Linked DNA regions of Stegostoma tigrinum. The protein of the gene in region 2 interacts with the protein of the main gene of each other region in a biochemical or structural test. Links are inferred from orthologs where the notes say so. Each region holds a gene or a part of one and is shown on either strand. Other genes may lie near its edges.

What was found. The genes of interacting proteins can lie anywhere in the genome.
Region 1: the proteins of topbp1 (region 2) and cell cycle checkpoint control protein RAD9A-like form a complex in vitro, tested with the Homo sapiens proteins (4 studies listed by BioGRID). The link is inferred for Stegostoma tigrinum from reciprocal best matches to the Homo sapiens genes TOPBP1 and RAD9A.

Annotation. Positions count from the first base shown.
Region 1 is NC_081399.1:1,879,429-1,886,721, forward strand, and holds the start of cell cycle checkpoint control protein RAD9A-like, read left to right. Parts: upstream 1-4,289; 5' UTR 4,290-4,303; coding exon 4,304-4,364; intron 4,365-6,141; coding exon 6,142-6,212; intron 6,213-7,293. UniProt on the Homo sapiens protein: Component of the 9-1-1 cell-cycle checkpoint response complex that plays a major role in DNA repair. The 9-1-1 complex is recruited to DNA lesion upon damage by the RAD17-replication factor C (RFC) clamp loader complex.
Region 2 is NC_081355.1:12,951,528-12,958,662, forward strand, and holds the start of topbp1 (DNA topoisomerase 2-binding protein 1), read left to right. Parts: upstream 1-4,126; 5' UTR 4,127-4,272; intron 4,273-4,312; exon of another isoform or gene 4,313-4,465; intron 4,466-4,471; exon of another isoform or gene 4,472-4,586; intron 4,587-6,533; 5' UTR 6,534-6,548; coding exon 6,549-6,638; intron 6,639-6,723; coding exon 6,724-6,858; intron 6,859-7,135. UniProt on the Homo sapiens protein: Scaffold protein that acts as a key protein-protein adapter in DNA replication and DNA repair. Composed of multiple BRCT domains, which specifically recognize and bind phosphorylated proteins, bringing proteins together into functional combinations.

The DNA of each region.
Region 1 (7,293 bases), on a different chromosome or scaffold from region 2:
GCCCTTTGACCCATTAAGTCTGTGCCAGCTCAAACAACCACCTTTAAACTCTCTCATCCTTTATCCCAGCTCACGCCCGTAGTGTTGTCATCACAAGTGCACATCGAAATAGATTAGATGCCCTACTGTGTGGGTATAGGCCCTGCGGTCCAACAAGCCCACACTGCCCCTTGAAGCATCCCACCCAGCCCCATCCCCCTACAACCCACACACCCCTGAACACTCGGGGCAATTTGGCATGGCCGATCCACACAGCCTGCCCATCTTTGGACTGTGGGAAGAAATCGGAGCACCCGGAGGAAACCCACGCACACAGGGAGAATACGCAAACTCCACACAGACAGTTGCCCAAGGCTGGAATCGAACTCGGGTCCCTGGTGCTGTGAGGCTGCTGTGCTCACCACTGAGCCACCGTGCCACCCAGCTCTTCAACGTCCTGAGGATTTCTGCCCCTCCCACTCTTACAAGCAGTGAGTTCCCGATTCCCACCACATAACCCATTCGTTTATCTACCCAAACCGTTTGAGCTCCATCTCCAGCTCACATTTACTGCTCCCCAACTTCAGTAAACGAGCCAACTTTTTCCAAGCTGTTGTCAGTACTGAACCTGAAACCTCAACCCTGTCTCTCCCCCAAAGATGCTACCAGACCTGCAGACTTTCTGCAGCTGCTTCTACTTTTGTTTCAGGCTTACGCATCCATGATTCATTGTTTTATTTTGGTCAATATTTTAGACATTGTCAACATCTCCTCTCTGATCTTAAACTCTGCACCTTGGCTGATTAAAGGCATGTATCCTTTTTGCTTCTGAACCACTTTATCTAACTGTTCTGCCCCCATAAAGGACCAGAGTAAATTGTCGTCCCTCTGATCCTCAATTAATTGTGTATTCCCTAGCCTCATTTGTTCTACCCGAGTGCACCCCCTCAGGCATATCCAGAATGAATTGCATTTTCCACTGACCAGCCCATTGGACCGACCCGTCTATGTCCCCCCCGACATCTCAGGATAACCTCCTCACTCCTCACTATCCCATCCATTTTTTGTATCAACCTCCTACATTCAAGCGTAAATCATTTATATTTAACATTCAGCCCCTTCCCCAGCCTGTTACACAGGGGGACAGCAGGAGGCCATTCAGCCCCTTCCCCAGCCAGATACACAGGGGGGACAGCAGGAGGCCATTCAGCCCCTTCCCCAACCTGTTACACAGCGGAACAGCAGGAGGCCATTCAGCCCCTTCCCTGGCCTGTTACACAGGGGGACAGCAGGAGGCCATTCAGCCCCTTCCCCAGCCTGTTACACAGGGGGACAGCAGGAGGCCATTCAGCCCCTTCCACGGCCTGTTACACAGGGGGACAGCAGGAGGCCATCAGCCCCTTCCCCAGCCTGTTACACAGGGGGACAGCAGGAGGCCATGTAGCTGGTTCACAGCCAGTCTGTATCATAACACTCAACACACAGCTCAAGTCCATAACCGCTCGTCCACAACCGTCCCATAGCCCATGTCAGCAGTGACTCCATCCCAGCGCTCCAATTTACAATTGATTCTGTTGTCCTGTCCACTTCTCACAGTCCAGCCCCGACAGCTCCGAGGGGACGGACAAAGCTCTAGAAACCCATATGCCTTTTCCCCATCACTTGACTTCACCCAGATCTCTGACCCAGCCCCAGTTGCCCCATGGTGGCACCCCACAAAGAAAAGCCCTTGATGCAGACCTTTCCCCATCCCGAGGTTCCTCGCTGCATGAGGAGTTCGTGAGTTGTGTGTGATCTCCTGGTCCTTGATATGTAACAGTGTGCCAACATTCACACCACAAACACTTCCATCCAGAAGGACAAGGGGCAGCAGGTACATGGGACCCCCACCCCCTGCAAGTTCCCCTCAGAGCCACCCCTCATCCTGACTCGGAAATATACCCCCGTTCCTTCAGTGTCGCTGGGTCAGAATCCCTGGAATTCCCTCCCTAAGGAACACCCACGGACTGCAGCGGTTCAAGGCAGCTCACCCCCACCTTCTCAAGGGGGGCAACTAGGGACGGAGCAATAAATGCTGGGCCCAGACAGAGATGCCCATGCTCCTGAGTGACTACAAGCGAGAGTGTGGTAACCAATTGCTCAGGGATTGGATTCACACGGAGACAGGGAAAGCTGCATTATCTTCTGCTCCCATCTACTGGACAAAGCCCAGCACAGCATCTGGAAGTGGGCCCTTTCTCTTCAGAGCAGGTCAGAATGAGCAAAACCTGTTACCTCGGTCACTCCATCCCTCTGTCAAAGTAAACCTGACGGGGTGTGTTAATAGTGTAATGATGGAATCTATCAATGAGACAGCTTAAAAGGCAGGCACTGCCCAGAGCTAGGATGTCAGGCTGGTGCAATGCCAGTCACCATTTGAAACTGTAATGACACCAGCAGTTTTCAATCAAGATCAGAATCCCTGAACATGAGGTTCAGTATTCCACAAACATTTCACTTCGACACTCAGACTGGGCAAGTTACAGATTTGAGACAGAAACAGCAGGAGGATTAATACACCTCTAGTTATCACACTCTCTCAGGGAGATATCTGTACACTGACTTGTGTCTCTCAGTCCCCTCTCTCTCTCTCTCTCTTAGGGAGATATCTGTACACTGACTGGTGTCTCTCACTCCCCCCTCTCTCAGGGAGATATCTGTACACTGACTGGTGTCTCTCAGTCTCCCCTCTCTCAGGGAGATATCTGTACACTGACTGGTGTCTCTCAGTCCCCCCTCTCTCTCTCTCTCAGGGAGATATCTGTACACTGACTGGTGTCTCTCAGTAACCCCCTCTCTCTCTCAGGGAGATGTCTGTACACTGACTGGTGTCTCTCAGTAACCCCCTCTCTCTCTCAGGGAGATATCTGTACACTGACTGGTGTCTCTCAGTAACCCCCTCTCTCTCTCAGGGAGATGTCTGTACACTGACTGGTGTCTCTCAGTCCCCTCTCTCTCTCTCAGGGAGATATCTGTACACCGACTGGTGTCTCTCAGTCCCCTCTCTCTCTCTCAGGGAGATATCTGCACATTGAACGGCGTCTCTCAGTTCCCCCCGCTCTCTCTCTCTCTCTCTCTCTGTCTCTCAGGGAAATATCTGCACACTGACGAATGTCCCTTCTCTCTATGAAGACTAACCAACAGATACAGAGACAGGAACTGTGCACAGTGCTCCCAGTGTGGGTCAAACTGAGGGATATAGAGACTGGAACTGTGCACAGTGCTCCCAGTGTGGGTCTGACTGAGAGATATAGAGACTGGAACTGTGCACCGTGCTCCCAGTGTGGGACTAACTGAGGGACATAGAGACCGGAACTGTGCGCGGTGCTCCCAGTGTGGGTCTGACTGAGGGATATAGAGACTGGAACTGTGCACGGTGTGGTGTATTTGAGGAAACTAGAGAATCTATCGCTGTGCAGACTCTGACGGAAAATGCAATTTTGGGGGGAAATGATGGGAAATCCTGTTATGTCCATCGACACAGAGTGATGTGCCGGTGGAATTTACTCCGGAACATTAGATGTTTCAAGAAGGTGTTTGATGTATCTCTTGTGTCTCATGGTTTTGAGGGAAATGGGGGGTGGTAAACGTGAGCAGTCATGGAGCTTACTTCTCAGGCATGATCATATTGACTGGTGGAGGAGGTGTGATACACTGAGTGGCCTGTCTGTGTTGGTTCCTGCTATGTTTCAATGAAAGGTGGAAGCTAGGAAATGTTGTATCAGAGACAGTGGGAACTGCCGATGCTGGAGAATCTGAGATAACACGGTGTGGAACTGGTGGAACACAACAGGCCCAGCAGCATCAGAGGGGCAGGAAGGCTGACGTTTCGGGCCAAGACCTGAGATGTCAGCATTTGGGCTCCTGACATGCTGCTTGGGCCTGTGTTCCTCCAGCTCCACCCCTCGTTACCTAGAAAATGTTCTCCTGATGGACCCTATTACTTGCCTGGCCTATGGTGCAGAGTCAGTAAACTTGAAAGTATTGTATTTGTAGTTTTACTCAGCATTAAGGTGCTTTATCATGGTAGGAACTCGACGGGCCGAATGGCCAAATGATGAAACACAATTGCAGAGTGGTTCCCCCTTTTATGGAATTTTGGTCGACACCTTTTAAATCAAATCTTAGGGTGTGTCGGCTTTAAGAGCCTGCGGGGCGGGCGGGGCCTTTTAAATAGTGGCACATCCGGGTACTGGGCCTGCGGGGCGGATTTAGGTCCGGCCAATGGCAGGGCGTTTTGTTTGAGGATGAATTGTGGTGGGCTCAGCCAATAGGAGAGCGGTATATGGGAGAGGAAGCGTTCGGGTCGAGGATGCGGTTCGTGGTGACAGGCGGCAACGTGAGCGGTATGGCGGGGGGAGGGGAGACATAATCTTAACCCTTAGCCCCTCACCCCTCACCCTCTCACTGCCTCACGCTGACTCCTCCCACTGACCCCTCGCCCCCTCACCCTCTCACTGACTCCTCCCACTGACCCCTCACTGCCTTACCCTGACTCCTCCCACTGACCCCTCACTGCCTTACCCTGACTCGTCCCACTGACCTCACGCCCTTACCCTGACCCCTCCCACTGACCCCTGACCCCTCACTCCCTTACCCTGACTCGTCCCACTGACCTCACGCCCTTACCCTGACCCCTCCCACTGACCCCTGACCCCTCACTCCCTTACCCTGACACCTCCCACTGACCTCACGCCCTTACCCTGACCCCTCCCACTGACCCCTGACCCCTCACTCCCTTACCCTGACTCCTCCCACTGACCCTCACCCTGTCTGTCCCCTTTCCCTGAACCTAAGCCCCTCCCCCTCACTCCTCCTGACCCCTCAGTCCCCCTCCGCCCCGACCCCTCAGTCCCCCTCCGCCCTGACCCCTCAGTCCCCCTCCGCCCTGACCCCCCTGTCCCCCTCAGCCCCCCTCCGCCCCGACCCCTCAGCCCCCCTCCGCCCCGACCCCTCAGCCCCCCTCCGCCCCGACCCCTCAGCCCCCCTCCGCCCCGACCCCTCAGTCCCCCTCCGCCCCGACCCCTCAGTCCCCCTCCGCCCCGACCCCTCAGTCCCCCTCCGCCCTGACCCCTCAGTCCCCCTCAATCCCCCTCCGCCCTGACCCCTCAGTCCCTCTCAGCCCCCCTCCGCCCTGACCCCCCTGTCCCCCTCAGTCCCCCTCCGCCCCGACCCCTCAGTCCCCCTCCGCCCCGACCCCTCAGTCCCCCTCCGCCCCGACCCCTCAGTCCCCCTCCGCCCCGACCCCTCAGTCCCCCTCCGCCCCGACCCCTCAGTCCCCCTCCGCCCCGACCCCTCAGTCCCCCTCCGCCCCGACCCCTCAGTCCCCCTCAGTCCCCCTCCGCCCTGACCCCCCTGTCCCCCTCAGTCCCCCTCCGCCCCGACCCCTCAGTCCCCCTCCGCCCCGACCCCTCAGTCCCCCTCCGCCCCGACCCCTCAAGGTTTACACTGTTGCCTCATTGTCTACCCGCGAGACTGAAGTGCCAGCAATTGCAGAAATAAAACTCCAGAAGCCCTGCCGAGAGAGGCCACAAGGTCAGGTGTCGGTGACTGGGAACAAACACACAAATCGCTGGAAAAGCTCAGCAGATCTGACCGTGTCTATGTTCTTGTTTCTGAGGAAGAGTCACCGGATACTACAGCTTCACTGACGCTGCTGGACCTGCTGAGCTTTTCCAGCAATTTCTGATTATGTTCCCAGTAACTGACCCTCCGACAGCGCCCGCTCCCTCAGCACTGACCCCCCGACAGTGCCCGCTCCCTCAGCGCTGACGCCCCCGACAGTGCCCGCTCCCTCAGCGCTGACGCCCCCGACAGTGCCCGCTCCCTCAGCGCTGACGCCCCCGACAGTGCCCGCTCCCTCAGCGCTGACCCCTCCGACAGTGCCCGCTCCCTCAGCGCTGACCCCTCCGACAGTGCCCACTCCCTCAGCGCTGACCCCTCCGACAGTGCCCGCTCCCTCAGCACTGACCCTCCGACAGTGCCCGCTCCCTCAGCACGGACCCTCCGACAGTGTGGCGCTCCCTCAGCACTGAATAACATGCGCTGATGACTTACAGTGCTTAATTGGACGTAATGCTCTGTCATTGATAAACTTATTTTGTGAATATTTTCTGGATTTAGTTATTGGGAGAGCAATACACGCACTCTCGCGGATTGGTGAAGACTGTTACCTTGAGGCATTCGATGAAGGAGTGAGTATTATTGCATGGAAAGATGAAAGCAAGAAGTGGAGAGCTGACACACCAGTCAGTGTACAGATATCTCTCTGAGAGAGAGAGAGGGGACTGAGAGACACCAGTCAGTGTACAGATATCTCCCTGAGAGAGAGAGAGGGGACTGAGGGACACCAGTCAGTGTACAGATATCTCCCTGAGAGAGAGAGAGGGGACTGAGAGACACCAGCCAGTGTACAGATATCTCCCTGAGAGAGAGAGAGGGGGAACTGAGAGACACCAGTCAGTGTACAGATATCTCCCTGAGAGAGAGAGAGAGAGGGGGTACTGAGAGACACCAGTCAGTGTACAGATATCTCCCTGAGAGAGAGAGGGGGGACTGAGAGACACCAGTCAGTGTACAGATATCTCCCTGAGAGAGAGAGAGAGGGGACTGAGAGACACCAGTCAGTGTACAGATATCTCCCTGAGAGAGAGAGGGGGGACTGAGAGACACCAGTCATGGTACAGAAATCTCCCTGAGAGAGAGAGGGGGGACTGAGAGACACCAGTCATGGTACAGAAATCTCCCTGAGAGAGAGAGGGGGGACTGAGAGACTCCAGTCAGGTACAGATATCTCCCTGAGAGAGAGAGGGGACTGAGAGACACCAGTCAGTGTACAGATATCTCCCTGAGAGAGAGAGGGGGGACTGAGAGACACCAGTCAGTGTACAGATATCTCCCTGAGAGAGAGGGGGGACTGAGAGACACCAGTCAGTGTACAGATATCTCCCACAGAGAGAGAGAGGGGACTGAGAGACACCATTCAGTGTACAGATACCTCCCTGAGAGAGAGAGGGGGGACTGAGAGACACCAGTCAGTGTACAGATATCTCCCTGAGAGAGAGGGGACTGAGAGACACCAGTCAGTGTACAGATATCTCCCTGAGAGAGAGAGGGGGGGGACTGAGAGACACCAGTCAGTGTACAGATATCTTCCTGAGAGAGAGAGAGAGAGGGGGGAATGAGTGACATCAGTCAGTGTACAGATATCTTCCTGAGAGAGAGAGAGGGACTGAGAGACACCAGTCAGTGTACAGATATCTCCCTGAGAGAGAG
Region 2 (7,135 bases):
GAAACAAAACTCCAGTCTGGGAGGAAAGAACATCAAAGACAATTTTGAAAGACCTCCCAGCTTTTGGATGTAGCAAAGAGGTGTGGTGGCTTTTAACAAACCCAGCAGCTTCTGCTGAAAGCTAAACTAGAGATCCTGGTTCTGTGGGAGGCCCAAGGCCTTGTGCTGTTGACACATGGTTTTGGTGGACTGCTCAGAACTCTGTCTTAAAACCTCTTCCAAAAAAAAACCAGGACAAAATAACCCCTTAAATTCACACCATTATCGCATGCAGTATTTGTGGAGAGACAAGACGGTTAATGCTTTTGGGTCCAATATGACCTCAGTTCTGAAGAGTCAGTAGACTTGGAACGTTAACACTGTTTCTCTAGCCACAGATGCTGCCAGACCCGCTGAGTTTTCCAGCATTTTCTGTTTTTATCACTTGCACCTTGCAGTCTCCCTGTGTTTTTTTTTTAAATTTAAAACTTCCACAGTCAATTGGAAAGACAAGGTATTCAGCAAGCAGTTCACAGCTTTTCCCGTAGGTCAGCAAAACAAAATGACAATTCACTCCCAAGCATATCTTAGCAAGACACATGCTTCATTGATATGACTGAAATGTTTCACAAGCTGAATGGCTGAATAGTGATGGATTTTGTTTTGAAACCAAACTCATTGAGACCTAGCTTCTAATTCTTTTTAGCAAATTGAAAATTCTTCCCTTCTGACATTACTAATCATGTGCAAATATATTGAGAAATGTAATTTATGGAAGGGAAAGGCAGTAAGTTCTCATTTTCTTTGCATTTGAATGGTGGTCAGTGATGTTAACTAAACAGTTATGATGCCAACATGGCTAATTTGGGGAATTTATCCAAGAAACTTGGGACAACTTATTGGAAGCATGAATGCAATATTTAGGAGGAACTGCATGTAATTTACCATCTTTGCAACTGATTGAAATGAAGCAATCACTTCCAAGTGATTCTAGTTTGCTCAGTGAATGTGTGCTCTTTCTGCCACCTAGAGGAGGTGTTTTAAGCCATGTATTTTAGACCATCTCATGGCCAAACAGTATCTCCTGCTCTCAGTAAGTCTCTAACTTCCGCTTGTCTTATGACCTGCACCTTTTGACTTTAGCTTTTCCACTTTTAGCCTGCTGTGTTTCAATATCTCCAATAGAATGCCCTCTTGTGATTTGTTTTGCAATTTCTTCCTTTAAACATGAGAAGGTGTGTTTATATGCTCCTTTTTCTGGTGTTAGCCAGTTGCTGGTCTTTCACTTGATTGCCAACTCTATTTGAATGTTATTCATGGAGGTTACTTTATATGTATATGTCTGCATCTGCTCTAGCCAGCCTATACCTCCCACTTATCAATATGTTTATAACAAATGTTTCATAGTACTCACCAGACCAATAGGAAAAGAAAACTTATTTAAAGAGGAGTATAAATTTCAGCCAGAAAATGACTGAGTTACAGGTGCAGGGATATGGGGAAGAAGCAGAGGCTTAGCAATAAATTGTACAGCACATACAGGCAAAATGGGGCAATGGCCTCCTGTGCTGTATAGAGTCAGAGAATGTACAGCATGGAGATGGACAAGTTGGACTCAACAGTCTATGCCAACAAGGTCTCTTAAATTTAGTCTCATTTGTCCCATATCCCTCTGAACCCTTTTCTATTCATGTAGTTCATCTAGCCATCAAGATTCCTTGTAAATGTTGTCATTGTACCAGCCTCAATCCCTTCTTCTGGCAGCTTATTCCACATGTGACACCCTCTGCATGGAATATCCCTTTTAAATCTCTTCCCCCCTGCACCCCCCCCCCCCCCCTAACCTGTGTCCTCAAGTTTTGGAATCTGCTACCCTGGCTAGTAACCCTATGACTTTATAAACCTAAGGTCAGCACTCAACCTCAGTCACTCTGGGGTAGAAAAAGCCCCCAGCTTATTCAGCCTCCCTGCAGTTACAACCCTGGCAACAGCCTTGTAGATCTTTTCTGAACCCTTTCAAGTTTCACAACATCTGTCCTATAGGATGGAGACCAGAACTCAAGTCATAGATGTGCAGCACAGAAATGGACCCTCATCCATGCTAACCAGATATTCTAAATTAATCTTGTCCCATTTGCCACTATCATGATTTTGTGATAATATTCAAACTGTTTTGTTAATATTGTTTATTCTTGCCATGTGCCTTGTACTCATTTGGGGTTTTTGATTAAACAAAACACAGCTTTTTTTTTAGAATCCCTACTTTATGGAAACAGGCCCTTCAACTCCAGTCCACAGTGACTTTCTGAAGACCATTCCCCCCCCCCCATGACTCCTATGTTTGTCTGTTCTGTCCATGCGCGCCACCCCCCCCCCCCCCCCCCCCCCCCAAACCCGCTCTGCATTTCTCAGGACTGATCTATTTCATCTACACACCCCCAAACACTGAGGCAATTTAGCATGGTAAATCCATTTACCACATATCTTTGGACTGTGGGAGGAACTGGAGTACCCACAGGAAACCCACACAGACACAGGGAGAACGTCACCTGAGGCCAGAACCAAACCTAGGTCCCTGGTGCTGTGGGGCAACAGAACTGGCTACTGTGCTGCCCCTGATGACCAAGCTTCAAGACTTGAAAGAGATGAACCTACTCATGTGCCAAAACTAGATTTTTGAAAAACTTTTCACTGAGTTACTCATGAAAAGCTTTTGTCCAAACTTATTACTATGGAATTAGGGTGACGTGATTAATATGAACCTGCTGACAGAAGGCACCACTGTACGATGGGGAATCATCCTGTCCAAGTGGGCAGGGTAACATGATGGTACCTTTACTTTTCTTAGGATGTGTAAATAACCTTCTCAACAAGGTTAAAAGAAACCACAAGATTTTGCAGTTGACTGTATAGTTCATGCATCAAGGGGAAAAACTCAAGATTGTATCAATTCCTTGAAAGATGATTTGTTGGAATTGCAAAACTGGCAGGACTAATGGGAGAAAGTATTCTGTTCTGACACATTGCTTTATTGTATGTGTTTGTGAAATGAAAGGATCCATCAACAGGTATAAGTTCTGTAATCAAATTCTGCAATGAGTAGATGCGCAAACATATATGAAGGTTCATCTTAAAATCATTCTTCAACTATGGTTCTACATTTAGCATACGCTATCCTAAGCAAACAGGAGTTTTGGATTTCTGAGGACAAATCTTTGTTGTATTGTTAGAATCAGGACATTATACCTTACCCAATAATCCTGCAGTATGGCCAAAAGGTGTGGGATTCTTGTATAACGAGATTCAAGTGAGTGTAATGTAATTCAAAGATATGCTTTGCAAATTAAAGGAAATACACTAGTTTTACCAGTGGATCAAAAATTTTGAATGGTGGTCACTAGCGCAGAGGAGGAAGGAGTAGACTAACCATGATCTACAAAATATGGAATAGATACAGAGAATTGGCAGAACTAAGTAGGTGGTATTGAATAAGACATAAAGATAACAAGGTGTGGAGCTGGATGAACACAGCAGGCCCAGCAGCTTCTTAGGAGCACTTGAAAAATTAACTGTTTATCACTCCACATAGCTAACTCCTCACCCTTGTGTTATTTCGGATTTCCAGTATTCTTGAAGTATTTAACTTTTATTTAAGTATCTCGTGCCATCTGGCAATAACATGTTACAAAGCACAAACTGTCTTCCCGAGGGCACAATGAAAGCGGCCAAAGCAAATGGTCATAGCCCCCAAATTTAGGAGCTAAATAACACATTTTTCAAGACCCAAATTTGGATTATTTCCGTTCAAAGATTTTCACAGCCTGGATGACCAAATCAGCAGGTTGCGCCTAGCTTAGCCAGAGCTATGTACATAAATATTGGTGGATACTGGTCTGTGAACCACTCAAGATGAAGCAGAGGCTAACCCATTCACTCCCACGAATCAGACAAGTGAACCTTCTCGTCAACTTTTTCTGAAGCATTTACATTCTTTCCTATGTACACAGTACTCCAGATGTGGTGTCTCGGCTACAACATGTTGCCTCCTTAGCTACTTCCGGGGGGTTTGTTCTCAGTCACATGATCCCATTACGTTCCCAGTCTCCCGCCCTGATCGTCAGGACCCCTAAACCTTTTGCGTCCACAAATGTGCCTGAGGGCCTTTCAGTACTTGCTGAAATCACTCCGAGCGGGAAACGAGAATGTTTGTTTTGAAACATAAAGATTAAATTCATAAACAGCGATCAGTGTTTGGGGAAGCGTAGAGATGTGTTGGACCCGCGGCTCTTGATGGTGAGGCGGACAGGCGGCAGTTCTGGTTTCCCGGGTAACCGAGGTCGGCAGCTGGAGCCGGTCACCGGGGCCGCAGGAGGCGGAGGGAGGGAGGGCCCGGGAGAGGCGAGAAATTTTCCGGGAGAGGCCGGGGCCCCGCTTTGATGCCTCTTTTCCTGGAGCATCCGCCCTGGGAGTCCAGCAGCCGCTGTAGGTGGGTTCGAGTGAGCGGGGGCTGAGGGAACCCTGTTCTCATTCCCCGACATCCCCCCGCCATCTTAACTGCCACCAACTCTCCCAACATTTATCAGCTTTATGTTTTGCAATGAGACTGGGTAAGACTGAATAACTGATGCAATGTATCTGGGATAATGGGAACTGCAGATCCTGGAGAATCCAAGAAACAAAGTGTGGAGCTGCTGTGTTCATCCAGCTCCACGCTTTGTATCTTGCAATGTGCCAGGATCTTTTTGGAAGACCTGAGGTACTTTCTACCTTTACTGTGTTGACTCCTTGTGACTGAAGGAATTATTTTCCCAGTACTGTGAAGTCAGAAACAATGTGATATGCCATTACTGTAACAAATGACTGTCTTGTTTTGATCTGTGAACTAAATGTATAGTCTCCTATTTAGATCTTTCAGTCATATCAGCTTAATGAATAAGTGATAAAATATTCTACATTCTTTTTCAATCGTTGCAGCTTTATTGTCAAATGTATTTCTATGTGCATGTGTAAATTCAGTTATTTGGGGGGGCAGCACCATCCAGAGTGGCAGATCACTTTTGTAAAAAAAATCGTAAACCTAGAAGTAATCCAGCTTTGATGTGTAATATAAAGTTGAAAACAGATTCTGGTATGTGACTATCTGATGGTCACTCTACTTGTGTTTACGCATCAGTTAAACAGACTGCATCTACATAAAAGTGCTCTTGATGTCATTTGACTTTGTCACATTTGTAACCATTTCTGGAATTGACACTAAAGAGGCTTATTGTATACAGTTATTGTGCTAAATTTCCTTGAGTAACGGAAACTGACTGCATTCACTAATTGGTTTCAAGAATTGCTGACAGTAAAAATGTTTGCAGCTCATATTTCACGGTGAATGTCATATGGTTGGATATGTAACAATATGCTGTGAAATGTTTCCGACAGCTCCGGCACTACTGCTGAAATAACTGTGGGAGGTTGGGTATTCAGAGTTTTCAAAGGCTTCAAATGCATGGTATTTAAGCAAGATAGCAAGTAGTATTCAGAAAGTGCTTTATGCGTGAGTATATTTTTGTATTTGCTCTTATACAGGTTGTTTATTAAGCAGTTTTGATGTCTCTGACTATAAAGCTAATTGGTAATGTAGCTGTAGACTGAACACATGCCATTTCATTGAAGGATAAATAGAAATTTTGTGTACAAATCATCATTGTTGTGGCTGCACAGGACATTGGTTAGCTGCTTTTGGAATACTGTGTTCAGTTCTGGTCTCCCTGCAATAGGAAAGAGGTTCTGAAACTTGAAAGGGTTCAGTAAAGATTTACAAGATGTTACCAGGGTTGGTGGGTCTGAGCTATAGGGAGAGGCTGAATAGGCTGGGGCTATTTTCCCTGGAGCCTTGGATACTGAGGGATGACCTTATAGAAGTTTATAAAATCATGAGGATCATAGATAGGGTGAATACCCAAGGTCTTTTCCCCAGGATAGCAGAGTCCAAAACTAGAGGACATAGCTTTAAGGTGAGAGTGGAAAAATTTAAAAGGCACCAATGGGGCAACTTTTTCAAAATAAAACCGAAAGAACTGCGGATACTGTAAATCAGGAACAAAAACAAAGTTGCTGGAAAAGCTCAGCAGGTCTGGCAGCATCTGTGGAGGAGAAAACAGACTTTGTTTTCTCCTGGTGTTGTGTTAGTTACTTGAAGAGAAATTTAGCGATTCTGCAGACATTGATCTTTTAACAGAATTTGCTTAACATGGAACCAGAGGAAAATGTTGAATTATCTTGGCTTGCAAGCAGGACATAATGCCGAAGTTTATTTAATGCAAATTTTAATGCTTATATTTCCACAGTGTTCAGTGATATTCAAAGGTCAGATTTACTCTTAATTTGAAAGAGACAAAGGAAAACTTTCATTTATATAGAGTCTTTAATGACTTTAGAAGTATTAAAGTGGTTTGCAACCATTTAAATACTTTTGAATTATAGTCACTGTGGTAGTTTCCAAACAACTTTTTTGTCCTGATATTGAGAGACTTTAAATACCTTTTGACATTTCTTTTCTCCAGGTTTAGATTGTGAAAATGCCGAGCTCTGCAAAGCCTGAACCTTTTCTAGTGAAATTTATAAAAATGAAAGGGAACGATTCTGAATATTTCACAAAAGCGTATAAGGTTGGTTTATAAAATACCATTTAATGTTTAAACCTTTCTGACTTTTAACTTTATTCATTTCATACAACTTTTTTCTGATTTGCAGGCCATTAAAGAATTTAAATCTGAGGACTTCCTGCAGATTGTACATGAAGATGAAGTATTTAACTTGAAAGTAAAAGACAGCTCACTTTATATATGTGACCCATTTGAGGGAGATGCTTACAATCACCTGAAAAAGGTATGTAGTTTATTTTTTGCTCTTGTAGAATGTTTTTTTGATTTTGTTATATACTGCTTTTTGTCAAGTGTGGCCTGAACCCAAATAGAAAGCCCACTGCCACATCTGTCTGAACCAATGGTGGTACCACAAGACAGCAAAATTTAGCCCTCAAGCAGAGAACAATTGTGACCTGTACACCAGCTGCTAGAATTTATAATATGCAGCCATAAGATCTCGTGTTCAGTAGGTGAAGGGCTGTATAATTTAATGGATCACATTCAGATTACTAACTACC